Linked DNA regions of Oryzias latipes. The protein of the gene in region 3 purifies or fractionates together with the protein of the main gene of each other region. This does not show direct contact. Links are inferred from orthologs where the notes say so. Each region holds a gene or a part of one and is shown on either strand. Other genes may lie near its edges.

Region 1 (4,966 bases), on a different chromosome or scaffold from region 3:
AAATAAGCAACAAAAACCTTTAATATCTGCATCACTTAAGTTTTCAGATGCCACACTGCATTTGCTCATACTTTTAATATGTAATGCTATTTTTAATATTTTTTTTTTCATCATAAAAATCTACTGGTATGGAATAGCAGATGCCTCAAATGTACAAAAAAATTTAGTATTGCATACTTCACTTAGAACAAATGGTGAGATAATACAATGTATACATAAAAAAATGACAATTTCAAGCAGCCTTTAATGTGTTTTTTATTTTTTAACTCTTGTTCTGAGATGTAGGTACTCCCAGTTGCTGCTAACAACTGATTGACCTACTTTGGGTTGGCCTATGGAATAGGGCAACTACAGAGTGGTGTTTTACAAAACTAAATCCCAGTATTTGTTGAAGATAATTTCTTTTTCCATTTCCAAATTGAAGGCTAAGATTATTACTTTATAACAATAAATGTCAGAGATGGGCTAAAAAAGTCAATGTCCCAAGAAGACAGCCTAAGGACACCTTTTCTTCTCATTTGCACTATTTTTTTTTTTTTTTTTTTTTACAGATTTGCAGTTGATGTTTGCAGGGCAATAAGACCAGCAGTTGTCTTGGCAAACAGCTAATCACAATTAAGAAAAATATGAGATTCTGCAACCAGAGATAATTCTCCACAGGATTTAACCTGTAAAGATGGCCAAACCGCCGCTCACTGTAGATGGATGTTACTTTCTGAATTTGGAAGTGGGAAGAGTCGAATACCTTGCTGACAATTCTGCCTTCAAGTCAATCAAAGTGTTAAATTTAGGGAACAATTTTGGGTGTGATTTTTATTTTTTTATGCAGGAGTGACTAATGCAGCAACAATGTTGGACTTGCAACAAACGCTGGATGAAAAATGGGACGCCATTACACAGGAGTGTGTAACCAAACTGGGGACCGGTGGCGACTGAGGCTGTTGTAGCTGACTACTGAGGTTCCTGTTTATTAAATTAATTGTTTTCTGTCTTTTGACATTTCAATCATTCAAATCACCAGCAGCAGAATTTAGAAAAATGTTCATGGTCTGGAACCCACACTCTGTATTTACAATGGCTCACATGTTCCTTTCTGCTGTTTCCTTTGGGTAAAGAATCATGAAAAGTTTTGTTAAAGTTTACTATGTATGCAGGGCATAATGTTATTAACATGATAAAAAAAATATGTCAGAAAATGTTCCATTACTTCATGAAAAAGGCAGATGAACAAAGAAAGTACAGTAACTGACATTTCCAAGATAGAAAAAAGTTTAAAAACAAAAAGAAATATCTTCAATTATTTCTATCAAATTAAACTACACAAAACAAAATAAAAATAATATACTGTAAAAACTAAAATATTTCCTGGGAAAAAAGTTTTTATTGTGTGTCAAAATCCTTAGAATGTAATCGCTTTCTGGTTTTCTAAAAACATGCCTAAATACATCTGGGTGGTCATTTTAAAGTATAACTGTTTCTCTATATGGTTAAATAAAGGTTAAATTAACACATAAAAAACGTAATCGGTCCTCGACAGCACGAAGACTATGGAATAGACCAATTTACAAACAAGAATAGGGGACAGCGGCAAAAATCTATTCCGTTTTTCAATCTCATTTCGAACACATCTTTCATAACATATATAACAGGCTAAAGGAAAAGTGATCATTAAACCCCATTGGAATATTATCAACTGTTTGATTTGAAGAACAGAATGACATAGACCTTCAGAACCTGTGGTAGAGTCCTCCTCTTCCTGCCAACGTTCAAGTGTAGGATGTAGCAAGACGTGGCTAGCACATTGCTAGCGAAGGTACAACGTTTTTAAACATTTGTAAACCTGACAAGGACCTGTTTTGCTTCATGCCTAAGTAAGTATAGTAGTGAATTTTATTTTTCTCATAGTGTTTTTTATTAAAGTCGCTTTCATAAATATTTGTGCTATCTGAGATCCGTCGGGTTAGCTTGAGTGCTAACATTCATGAAAACCACTGTTTTGGTAGATGCTAACCCTATACCTATATTTGACATAAGTCAGTTCCTAATAACCCGTGACATGTGTTAATTTTTCTTTCTGAAGAAACACTAAATTTGTTATTTACTTTTATGTGTTTGTGTAAAATAGTTTAACATTATATATTAGTAAACTGTCAAAGGGAAAAGAGCTCCACGTAGCTAACACTAGCTTTAGCGGTACGCTAACTTTTGCTAAAGCTATCGTTTAATGATGCTAAAATCGAATTGTCAGGTGAATCTAACTCGAACCGAATTGGTGTCAGTATCCTATTTGGAAAGTACTCAGATATTGAAATCCAATCCTCAGATTTTAACCCAGTATAAATGTGGATGCCGATGAGATGCGGCTGAAAAATAACACAACTTCGGCTCAAGGGCACCGCTTTTTTATGCTGCGCATCAGCAGAACTGTTATCACGTAGGCTATTTTTTTTTGTCTCGAATAGTTTGTCTTTTCATATATGGTTAAATAAAGCTCTTAAACCCCTTATATTATCTGTTCTTGACACAGTAATTCTGGGAAAGAGTTGATTTTCTGGGGGTTCTTTTAAATCACAGCTATTTAAATATGTCAGCAAACATGGGAATTTATTTCAATGCTTTTTGTCCCAAAAAGCTAAATTAAACAAATAACAAACAACTTTACATCAAGTTTTTGATTAACATTGGTCTTTATTTATTTATTTGCCAGATTTTAGCATTAACGAGCAAATAGCTGTATAGGTATAGGTATAGTTTTACTTTCTTTAAAAAAAAAATATATATAGAGAGAGAGAGAGATAGATATATATATAGAGAGAGATATTTAAGAGGTACTAAGCATTTTTTTAACTAAAGTAACTCATGCAGAGAAATAATGTTTTCACCCTTTTCTCCTTTTTGCAAGTTTGGTAATTTTATTGTATGAATGGCATGGAAAAATATGAACACAATGCTTTTTAAGTAGTCCAAAACCACAAAGCTTCTTGTTGAAGATTTTTTTTCCCATGAAACTGTTGTGCTTTTCATTTTAGTAGCTCAGATGACTAACCTCAACAAGGGTGATGGACACATTTTTGCACAGATTTGGGCTCAAACAGTTTAATTACTTGCTGTTGTAATTTTCTTCAGCTTGCTGACTGATGTTTTCAGACTTCTTGTTCTTAGTTAAATCCCTGTGAGACCTTGACTAAAGCAGTTTTATGCGGTCACATGAAGTAGATGTTTTTTTTGTTGTACAAAATAAATCCATTTGTTTATGTTTTTAAACAATTGTGTAAAGGGTAAAATCTCAGTATGCCCTACTTTTATACATCCATTTCAGCACTTATTTTATGTAAATGAAGATATTACTAAATGATTTGAAAGTCTAAAGTCATTGAAATTACATATAATTAATCATTCCCATTTAAATGCTGAAATTTAAAGTGTAAAATTGTATTAATTGACATGTATTAATACAATTGTGTTGTTTCCTTCTTTGTGCATCACAACCGTTTGAAGTACTGACATTTTACTGTTTGTTTGTGTGCTACCTGTTGTTGATGCTCAGGAGGTTGTGGGTAGTGTACCATGGGGTACGATGTTACGAGGTTCCAGGGTGAGGTGGATGAAGACCTCCTCTGTCCTATTTGCAGTGGAGTGTTGGAAGAACCAGTGCAGGCAAGTTTACTTTTACAAGGAATTGGATATACAGTGATCCCTTGCTATAACGCGGTTTGCTTTTCACGGTTTCGCTACTTCACGGATTTGCATGGTGCATTGTGTTCTGCATTCTGATTGGCTAAAAAGTCACTCCGCTTCTTCTCTACCTGTGCGTCAATAACGTTGCAGTTTAATATGTGCACGTACGTAAATCAGCTTGCCAAATTTTCATTACTACGTGCAAATTCTCTTGATGGTGGCAAGTCGGTGTATAAGGATCTTTTTGCAAAGCAGAAAAAAGAGCGACAACAACTGCCTATCACTATGTTCTTCTCCCGAACAAACACAGCTGCACCGCGGGCTTCAAAAGAAGAAAACACTGCAGAGCTGAGTCAGGATGCAGCGGCTCAGTCTGAAGAGCAGTGAAATACACCTGAGTCACTATTTGTCCCACTGTACTTTGTATTTTTTTCATAATCATTTTAAATTTTCTCCCGTTTAATCCAATACTCGGGTCGCGGTGGGCGGGGCTAATCTCCGCGATTTGAAGCCTTCTGTTCACATTCATTAAAATTATTATTTGACAGTACAGTACAGAGTTATTTGTTGAAAAAAAGGTTTCTAAAGTACTTTTATTTGTGAAACAAATGCTTGAGCCTGTAAATTGGTTTGTTCTTTCTTTTCAATGTATAATAGAGTATTTAATTGTATAATAATAGTTTAAAAAAAATAAAGGTTTCTACTTCACGGATTTTGCCTATCACGGGGTCTTTTTGGAACGTAACCCCCGCGAAAAACAAGGGTTTACTGTATAGCAGTATTTTCTCATTTATATTTGTAGACATTAATGGTTTCATGAATGAATGCATCACAGCATTTTAAGTGAGTTCTGTATCTTCATTTCAGGCTCCACACTGTGAACATGCCTTCTGTAATGCCTGTATAACACAGTGGTTTGCCCAGCAGCAGATCTGTCCTGTTGACAGGACAGTGGTGACACTAGCTCATCTCCGGCCTGTGCCCCGGATCATGCGCAACATGCTGTCCAAACTTCAGATCAACTGCGACAATGCCAGTTATGGCTGCACAGCTACGCTGAGGTTGGACCAGCTACAGTCTCATCTCAAAGACTGTGAGCACAACCCCAAAAGGCCTGTCAACTGTGAGGAAGGATGTGGGTAAGTGCCTTGCATTCAACAGCACAATGGATACTGTTTTATGAGTACTGCTTGGATTGACTCTGACTTTGTGTGTATGTATGTGCATCCTCAATAGTTTGTAAAAAAAATAAGAGGTAAGACAGTGGAAAATTTTAACGAATGAAAAA
Region 2 (4,844 bases), on a different chromosome or scaffold from region 3:
CTAAAAGTGTAAACCTAAAGTAAAACAGTGTAAAATAAAAATGCTGTGTCAAAGGCCTGACTATAAAAATGTGTTTTTTTGTTTTTTTTTCCCCAAATGAGGACAGTGAGGATCCCTGCTGCACTCAGTAACACGTTCCACAGCTTCGGTGCACATAGTGAAAACGCTCGTTCCAGTCTGAGCTTCTTCCTGACCTCAGCACGTCCAAGAGAGGCTGACCTGACACCAAGCTGGGGTTTAGGGAGAAGCTCAGACAGGTATGAAGGTACGATTATTTAAAGATTTCAAAACAGAATCTTAAATGAGCTCTAAAACCACAGGCAGACAGTGAAAGGTAGCTAGGATGTGGCTCCAACCAGAACATGAGCAGCAGCGTACCGGACACGCGAGACGGACGACTGGCTGACTCCAAAATAAAGAGAATTCCAGTAATCCAGCCCAGATGTAATGAAGGCTGGAGGAAGCAAAATAAAAGAAACCTTTGCCTTTGAAATTATTTCCCAAAAAATTTACTATGATTCTCTAAAATGAAAAAAATGTCCTTTGTTTATTAAATAGATTGAGATTTCTCTCGTGTTGTAGCTGAATCTGTATTTTATCTGACCATAGCTTCAAATGTCAATTAAAAACTTACCTTTTTAGAATGTTTTTTTATGCTCAGGTGGCATTTTCTTTTCTTTTATTTATTCTTATTTATCTTTGATGTATTTTATTGCTAAAAACGTTTTGTAAGTTTATGCTGTTTTTAAATTTGTCCTTGATTTGCCTGATTTTAAACATTTTTTTTGTCTGTTTCTTTTATTATGAAGCACTTTGGTACACTTGTACACTTTGGTAAGCATCAATAAATACTGAAAATGTCTGCGTAAACTGTGACCCCTTGAGTGGCAGTCAACTAAAAAGTTTTAATGAAAACCACTGATTTATTTGAACCAATTGAGGAATGCTTCAATTCTTTTCCATTTTTGTTCTGGATGAGAGGTTCTTCTGGTTTGTAGAAATCCCTCCCGTCTCCTCACCTTTATGTTGTTTCCGGAAAGGTTTAGCCATTTCAGATGAGGCAGATCGCGCAGTCCTTCAATGTAGCCGATGCTGTTGTTGGGCAGATTGAGGACCCTCAGCTGCATCAGCTGAGACACCCCCATCATTCTGACCAGACGGTTGTTTGCTACGGATAGCTGAATTAGTGACAACAAGGAGTTTGCATCAAAACCACAGAGCGGGAACGTGTTTGTTCATCTGTCATCAGACTAGAACCACTCTCAAAAATGTGACCTGCTGAAGGCTGGGGCTTCGTTCCAGATTATCCAGCTTCATGATTTTATTGCGGTCCAAGATGAGAGTGTGAGTGTCGTCAGAACTGATGAAACTGGGATCCAGCTTCTGCACCCCCCGACCTGTCAGATCCACCACGGGTCCTGCTGGTTTAGGAGTCAGAAGACAAAACACTTGGATTTCTCTTTTCGTACATAAAAGCATTTCACACTGGTTTACAGAAAGAACAAAGAGTTGGCATTATATTAAAAAAAAAAATGTCACAAATGTACCATTAATGAAACAGAAAGAAAGCAGCACTTTAACTAAAAATCGTTGAAGAACATTCAAGTTCATCAGACATCTTGCTTCAATCTGTGTGTAGCTTCACCTTTGACTCAAAGGTCTACCTACCACCTGATTGGTTCCAGAGCTTTGTTGGGTTTGTGAGCCCTGAGCAGATCTGACTCTATGCTATCTCTAATAGTCTTTATTGAAAGAGCAGACAGAACTGTTATATTGGTCCAGCCTGAAGGACATGAAGACACCAAACAGCTTCTCTTAATCTTGTCTGAATGTGAAATCTCTGAGTTTCCCTGTGTGTTGACCTGATCTATTTGTAGCCTTGTTGATCCACTTCAAAGAAAAAATGGTGTTTTGGGTGTTTTTTTTTCCTGATGAGGCAGGACAATTATGAAGGAAATTAAGCTTCAAATTGCAATTCTGAGTATATTTCATTCAAATCATTTTGAATCAGGAGCAAATGATAAATGCTCTTTATAAAAACTTGTGTTGTGACGTGGAGCCTACAACGGCAAGTTACAGGCTTCCTGCTGCGCTCCATTCTGATACCTCTACTTGTGGACAAATAGATTCATCTACGTCTTTGTTTTCCTCGTCTGAGCTGGACTTTGAATCAAAACTACAGTATATGACTGGATAGCTCCCATGTTGCTTGCCATTTTTGTTACGCCAGTAATTTGGGTTGGGGTTGTGCGGGGCTGTAAGCTAGCGGGAAAGGGTGTAAACAGATGGGTGATGGGAAGTGGCAATGGGCTTACTCCACACCAACAGTCCCGCCCACATCTACTGATGCTCTGCAGAAACTATGTCCTAGAAGATGACACAGGTTTATTGACTTTTCCTAAAAATGACATAATCATAATTAAAAGTACTGGAAATGCTTTGAAACGTGACCGAAAGATGATCGGAGAGCTACTTTAATGTAAATAATAGCAATTTAAAGTGGATTCTACACCAACGTTGTCATGTTTATATTCGACGGTAAAAGGATGATTATGCATCAAAGTCATGATGTCAGAAAATCCCATGTTTGACTTGACCTTTTTTTTACATTTTTAATTAAAGTGAATGTCCTAAAGCAGCAGGAGAATCTTATTCGACGCAGTATGTATTTTATTTTGAAAAGAACATTTAAGTGCTGCTGTTAAAAGTAAAAGTAATTCACATTGAATGAATAGTAAAACAGAACACTGGTAAAATTCAATTACTGTATTGCAAATCTTTAAAAGCTACTTTTTAAATTAATAGTTTTTTTTGTGCATTTAAGTTGGGTGTATGTATTCTATGGCCACCAGGTTCACTTCATGATGGATCAAGGCTTTAACTGACAACCTGCGTTGGCCAACTCAGCCACTGCAACTGTAACTGATGCTGCTGACATCACAACATCTTTAAGATAACAGTCAATTGTGAGGAGGAAAGAATTAGAGTTAGGTTTGAAAAGAAAACTAGTTTACAGTACAGATGTTCCACACAAGTCTGCCAATATGTCCAGTTTGATGATCAAACTAGCTAACAACCACCAGATATTTCAACTTAAAGAGTCAATGAAGAAAAGTCACGGGACGTTTGCTGAGCTAAAAACGGTCAAGAGCGCTAAACGACTAGATTTAACACACGTACGATACAAACATTACAAACTGAATGGGTTCACCTGGCTATAAAACCATAAAGAAACTCACCAGCGTTCGTATCAAAGTGTAAATCTGATACACCCATCCTGCCGGGCTAGCTAGCTTTCACCGAGCGTTAGCTAACTCTAACTGTCAGACACACAAGAGGCGCCTGTCGGCTGTCACAGGGTGAAATGCTTTCTGGGAAATGTAGTTACCTGTCTGGCCTGCAAGTCTCTCTCCCGATTATCTTTTGATCTATAAAGCGCTCCCAATGGTCTTTTTATCATGATTATGCCGTTATTACCCCCCCCCCCCCCAAATAAATAAATAAATAAACAAAATTAACAAGCAAACACACAAAAAAGCCTCAACATTGTTGTTTTCTAGAACACTGCGGAGCAGCAGGAATTTATTAGAAATTCACCTCTGAATTGTTGGCGGGACTCATCTGCCACCTTTAACGCTAAAAGAGCCATGTAGTCTAGCTCATTACTGACCAAAAAACTGCAAAGTCCAACTTCACCGTTTGGGAAAATAGTCTTTTTTATTTAAAAAGGTTTCCGTGGTCATTAAACCTTTTATTTATAAAGTGTTGCTTTTAATACAATAATTAAATTATAACCGTGTTCTATGTTTCTTTCTATACCAATTTGAATTAATTTTACCATAAACTACAGCAAAATAAAATGCATACTGCATCGAACAACTAGTTAATCTATTTTTTTTTCAAGTCCAAGCATTTTCTTTAAAACCAAAGAGCCACACATGGCTCCTTAGCCTCAGGTTGGAGACTCTTGATTTAAATGCTCCCCTTCTAGCTTACAGCTCTTCACAACCCAAACCTAACATTGACTGACAGTAAATAGTTTTTTTAAAATGATCGTTCCACAGCTTGACAACATTCCAGATAGTTATCAGACATTTTAGTTTAGTCTTTTATCTACATTGCATTGTCATTTTTAAATAGAAACATTAAACTTCTCTCATGTTATGTCTTTTATGTTTCCAAAAGGATTCCTGCGTTGAAGTGAGATTAGAATGGAACCTCACTCTGTTTACTTAGATGTAAGGCCAGATGACATGGTCAAAGAATATTTTTTTTTTTTCATTCATTTTTCAAAAGCAAAGATAAATTAAAGTTATGTCTGTGGTTTGTATCAACATAAAACTAACAGAGCAGATGACCTCAGACACGTGCAGACTCAGCAGAGCCATCTGAGAACGAAACACAAGAACTTCATTTTGCTGCCTTTCTGGTTCCCTCTGATATTTGACAGCCAGCCAGAGACAATGAAAAAGACTGCACCTGACTTTGGACTTTGAATTTGAAGTTAACCATTGAATGAAGCGCAGTGACTCCAAAAGGTATTAAGCAGGTTCAGAAGATGGATGAATGGCATTGGATGAAAGACCTACAGCTACAGGTGAACACAAAAAAACCACTCTATAATCTGCAACTGTCATGGCTGTGCTGTGAGCTTGTTAACAAAACCCCAGAGAGTTTCATTGTACATTTAGTGAGTGTTAAAAAATGTTTCAGTGACAATGCTTAATACTTTTTTAAAATTAGCTTTAGTTTAAAAAGATGCAACACATAGGTTTTTTCTGCACTTAAAACTTAAAAATATACACTGAAAAGATAACTGTGAAGATGTTTTATCAATGATGGTG
Region 3 (4,700 bases):
GCCTTTCTGCTGCACTGTCTTTGAGATACTGATCTGACGCCCACACTGTGCCCTTCTATCTGCCTTTGCCATTTGTACCGGCGTCCCCCTGAATCATTCCTTTGCCTTCAAAGTGGTTTTGCACTAAAATTTTGTTTGAATTTTGCCTTAAAGTGCCTGTAGTTTCCGTCTCGCCTCCTGCTTTCTTCATTCATGTGAATCATGAATTTATTGAGGGAAACATTCCATTTTATTTTATTTTTTTATATTATGTGAACGTTTTGAAAAGAAGGGAATCACTGTTGTTTCAAGAAACGTAAATGAGCACTGCTGTTGTTGAATGTTAAGTGGATCTGCCTTTTGTTGTTGACAATCACCATCAAGTGGTCTTCTGTCCACGTTTTCTCTGATTATTTCATATTCCAAATACCGGTATATATAGCCTTTCCTTATTGCACATGTTTTTTGTTGCACGTATATAGATCATATGCGGAACTCTAAATCCTCAATATCTATACATGTTAAATGTCATATACTGTATATTTGTGAAAGTGCTTGTTCTTTGCTGCCACTTTCTTCCTCAGGTTAAGTACTTTTTTGGTGCTGCAGACTTTTTCCTCTTTGCAGGGAGTAACATTTCTGGTTTCTAATTAGAAAATCTTTTTGGCTAAGTGTTTACTCTTTCCCTGACTTGTGTCTTATTTTGCAAAACCAGCCTGCAAAGTTCACTTATCCTCAAAACAAAGAACACTTTGAATGTCAGGCTGGTGTTGTCTGGCCAAACTTGGTAAAGACATGCTTATACAATAATTGTGCCTTTTGCCTGCTGGGAGTCCCTATGCAAATTTCTTCACATTATTAAGCCATTTATCTCAGATGCTCCTTCCTTTGACCTATCTAAAGTCTCTCGATGCTGTTTTACTGTTTTTGAGAAGCTCATATTTGATTGTGAGCTTGAGATCTTTTTGCTTTACTTTTGTGTGTGTTTGTGTTCAGGCTGTCCAGAAATGGTATATAAAATAAATTTCTATGTCAAACGTTTTTCCTCTTTCTTTTTTTTTCATTCCCATTTGTTGAACTTCTAGTGAGGAGAGTGGCTGTTTTATCTTGAAGAATTTGTAGAAATGTTGACACTTTAATATGAGTAATGATATTCTTTCATTATAGTGTGTAAGGAGAGGAAGGGTCACTGCTGTAGCAATTTATCAAATTGGTCAATTTTAACCCACAAGAACACAGAATGAGATATTCAGTTCAGTTCAATTTTATTTGTATAGCCCAAATTTAACAACAACAGTCGTCTTGATGGGCTTCGTATCAGTAATTGAAAAAGTAAAACATAAAATCAAAAGGATCATGAATAGAATTCAATAGTGAAATACCAAATTGAACTAACTAAACTAAACTGGACATCCCTGCCTTTAGACCCTCCTTCACTAACTGATTAGACTGTTATTTAATAAAACAGACTTAATTTATTAATTTACTATTTTGTCCTTCAATAAAGATCAAATAAAGCCTTATCTAACTAAAGTATTGTGTTTCATGCTGATTATCAAAGTAAAGTCATTAATAAATTTTCAGTAGTTGTTGTACGAGGTCACAAACATTTAAAATTAAATAAAGAAGGGAATGTTTATAAGCAGGTGATAATGGATTTTTAAGTAGGAACCATTGATTGTGCTCCTTTTTGAAGGGGGAGGAGCACCAGTCTGCCACCGGATGTTGACAAACCAAAGGTTCCGTTTCTAGTAGCATCTACGTCTAGAAGTTTCCTGCCACTCTGAACGTACAGCCCGTCAGGTTACTGCATTCATGGCAGCTGAACGGTCAGTCCTCCTCCGTATATCCAATTGTATATCTGCTTTTTTATGTGTTATTTAGCTTGTTAACGCTTGGTCTCTGTCGGCTTTCTTTAGCAGCTTCCCTGATAGCTTCATTGATGAAGATCCACGCAAAGCCCTTGAGGTAAACGTTAGCATTGCTAGCAACACGTAACCTGTAGCCTGTGTTTTGGGGTGTTTGTGTATCAGATTAGAGACCATTTCATACTTTTGATTTATTCGTAACAGAACTGGTGGAGATGGGTCGGGCTTGTAACTCCTGACGTTACGTCTCAACGTTTAACGATATGTAGCTAGCAAGTTCAGCCACGTTACTGTATAAGTCTTATTTTGAAAATGAAAGTGTAAAAGACGCATTTATTGAATATTTTTTTCTATGTTATGGTCTTGTTTAAAACCATCACATATTTTATTTGTTATAATTAAACCGTTTTCATGTGTTAAAATAGTTTGTAACGTTATTAACTTGTTTTTTTCCCTTCTTTTTGTGTTACTGTCTGTGTATCAATTAACCTGTTATGTTGGTTAATTTATAATATACACTTGCAGCGACGCTATTTCTTCAACAACTTGTTTCCGTCGTGCAGAAATCAAGTATATTGACTTTACTTTCTTATGTATATTTTACTTTCAGGCTCTGAATGAGGCCTTACAGGGAGAGTCTGACAACGCTGAGTGGTTCTGTCAACGGGCCTATGCCCACATTCTTCTAAAGAACTACAGCTGTAAGTTAAAGTTGACATCATATTCCCAGTTTTTACCCCCAATGTCGCCAAAGGAACTAATTGATGTGTACCATGATTCTGAAGTCACACTGTTGAATCAAAATCTGGGTAGTTGATCTTTTAATGAGGACAAATTTGGGAAAAGCAATCACTGAACTACAAAAATTTCTATTCGCTGCAGGGAATTCAAACATGCCTGCTGTGGCATTTGGAATTTTCATTAAGGAAAACCATATTTCAATAAAAACAAATGTGTTTATGTATTTTCCTCGGACCAGGATCTTTGTGTAAATCTTATTGACTCGTAATGATTCACACTTTCAGGCACCAGATGCATTTTTCCATCTTTGATGTAATTCTGTTTCTTTGTTAAAATGCAGAGGAAGGCTCCTCTCCTTAATGTGGAATCTTAACGGCTTTACCGTCATCACTGTGAGCATTTTGAGAATACATCAGAGGATTGGCTCATGTTAGATGTTGAAAAGTTGAATGCAGGGGAACAGACTGAGGTGGTTTGGTCTTGTTCAGTATCCTTTTACCAAAATGGAGATACCTGGAAGGAAGTCCCAAGGGAGAATAAGGAGGAGGACATAGGGTGGTTGGTGTGAGCAAAGAGGATTAGAATGATGCAGAGGATTCACAGAGGCGACTCTTAAAGAGAGGAGCAGACAGACAAAAAGGAAAATAATATCTCCAAACATGTTTATGACCAAAATATGAGACTGCTTTAATTTAAGCTTTTCTTTTCACATTGTGCAGTTGAACAAATGAAACACCATGACCTTCTATATGGGCATAATTCTGCTTAAAGTGATGTTACTTGTTCTTCATGAAGCTATTGTTTGTATGACGTATTAGAGAAGAAAGATTGTAATATTCAAAATTTCCCCTACTTTAGAGTTCAAAAAAGCGTTATTGCCAGATAAATGCCTTTCCTTATTTATTTATTTATTTATTTATTAGTTTGTTACATTGTTTTCTCCAATGCTGCCCCTCTATGTCCTCCTCTGATCCCCCTGGAGTCAGTTTTTGCCAAGGTTTTTCCCATAGTGACCCTGTGGATGCCCACAAGACCTCCTTCTCTGACTGTTCTTGGCATTGATTTTGACCTCTATTCACTTTTTGTTCTGCAATCGAACAGCAGCTGAGTAGATCACATTTTGCCCCACCTGGCTGCAAACAGCACCACAAATGTTTTCACAAAGTTGATCAGTCAATGAATAAAGTTTAAATTGTAAATTTCATTCAAGAACTGCGAATACTTCAACTTATACTCTCCATGAATTTAGGGTTTCGATGTAGGAAAAAGGTTTTGTTGTTGTTTTTAGCTGGAAGTTTCCTGGCTACTGTTTATGGGTCTATAATTGTGCTTAATTGAAAATGATTATATTATCATTAGAAATGTGATAGCATGGGAGGCCTGCATGGTGGCCTAGTGGTCAGCACTCTGGCCTCACAGCACTAACCTGCTGGGTTCTTTCTGTGGGGAATTTGGATGTTCTGCAAGCACAATCATGGGGTTTCTCTGGGCGCTCTGGCTTCCTCCCACAGTCCAAGAACATGTTTCATAGGTTCATTGATTATTCTAAATTGTCTCTAGTTGTGCATGTGAGTGTGTGTGTGTGATTGTGTGGCCCAGCAACAGACTGGCGACCTGTTCAGGGTGTACCCCGCCTTCTCCCAACAATTGCTGGGTTAGGCTCCAGCAGCCCCGTGACAGCTAAAGGATTCAGTAGGTTCTGAAGGTGGATGGATGGAAGGAAATCATGGGAAATGGAAGAAAGCTGCGACAGAAAGTACTGGCTTTCCTTTGGTGCATCTTGTCAGTGTTAGTTGGGCTGCTTGGTTGCATTGACTCTTTTGAAACCTTAAGTTAAAGCAGATATTTTTGCTTCATTCCACAAAGCTGTTACCACTAAAGCTTTAAGTAAAACCTAAAATGATGGAAGTTTAGACAATGTAAGATTTTGGGGTATCCTATGACAGATAAAGTAGTAGCTCCAAACAGTTATTCGTTATTAATCATCCGTTAATATGAGTTGGTAATGAGGATGAATGAGTGTGAAGTCTTCCCAATACGTCTGCTTTTCTCCACAGGTGCTGTTGAGGATGCTAAGAAAGCCCAGCAGCTAAAGCCCAGTCATCCACTAGC

Evidence for each region. Proteins that work in one complex are often made in the same cells at the same time.
Region 1: the proteins of sugt1 (region 3) and rnf41 purify together in Homo sapiens (affinity purification with mass spectrometry; 3 studies listed by BioGRID and IntAct, with this or other methods). This does not show direct contact. The link is inferred for Oryzias latipes from reciprocal best matches to the Homo sapiens genes SUGT1 and RNF41.
Region 2: the proteins of sugt1 (region 3) and cep97 purify together in Homo sapiens (affinity purification with mass spectrometry; 3 studies listed by BioGRID and IntAct, with this or other methods). This does not show direct contact. The link is inferred for Oryzias latipes from reciprocal best matches to the Homo sapiens genes SUGT1 and CEP97.

Annotation. Positions count from the first base shown.
Region 1 is NC_019865.2:22,244,949-22,249,914, reverse strand, and holds the start of rnf41 (E3 ubiquitin-protein ligase NRDP1), read left to right. Parts: upstream 1-1,596; 5' UTR 1,597-1,871; intron 1,872-3,547; 5' UTR 3,548-3,567; coding exon 3,568-3,657; intron 3,658-4,545; coding exon 4,546-4,817; intron 4,818-4,966. UniProt on the Homo sapiens protein: Acts as E3 ubiquitin-protein ligase and regulates the degradation of target proteins. Polyubiquitinates MYD88. Negatively regulates MYD88-dependent production of pro-inflammatory cytokines.
Region 2 is NC_019879.2:10,883,145-10,887,988, forward strand, and holds the start of cep97 (centrosomal protein of 97 kDa), read right to left. Parts: upstream 3,371-4,844; 5' UTR 3,277-3,370; coding exon 3,240-3,276; intron 1,422-3,239; coding exon 1,276-1,421; intron 1,179-1,275; coding exon 1,020-1,178; intron 1-1,019. UniProt on the Homo sapiens protein: Acts as a key negative regulator of ciliogenesis in collaboration with CCP110 by capping the mother centriole thereby preventing cilia formation. Required for recruitment of CCP110 to the centrosome.
Region 3 is NC_019875.2:17,046,770-17,051,469, forward strand, and holds the start of sugt1 (protein SGT1 homolog), read left to right. Parts: upstream 1-1,676; 5' UTR 1,677-1,794; coding exon 1,795-1,808; intron 1,809-1,898; coding exon 1,899-1,947; intron 1,948-2,457; coding exon 2,458-2,548; intron 2,549-4,645; coding exon 4,646-4,700. UniProt on the Homo sapiens protein: May play a role in ubiquitination and subsequent proteasomal degradation of target proteins.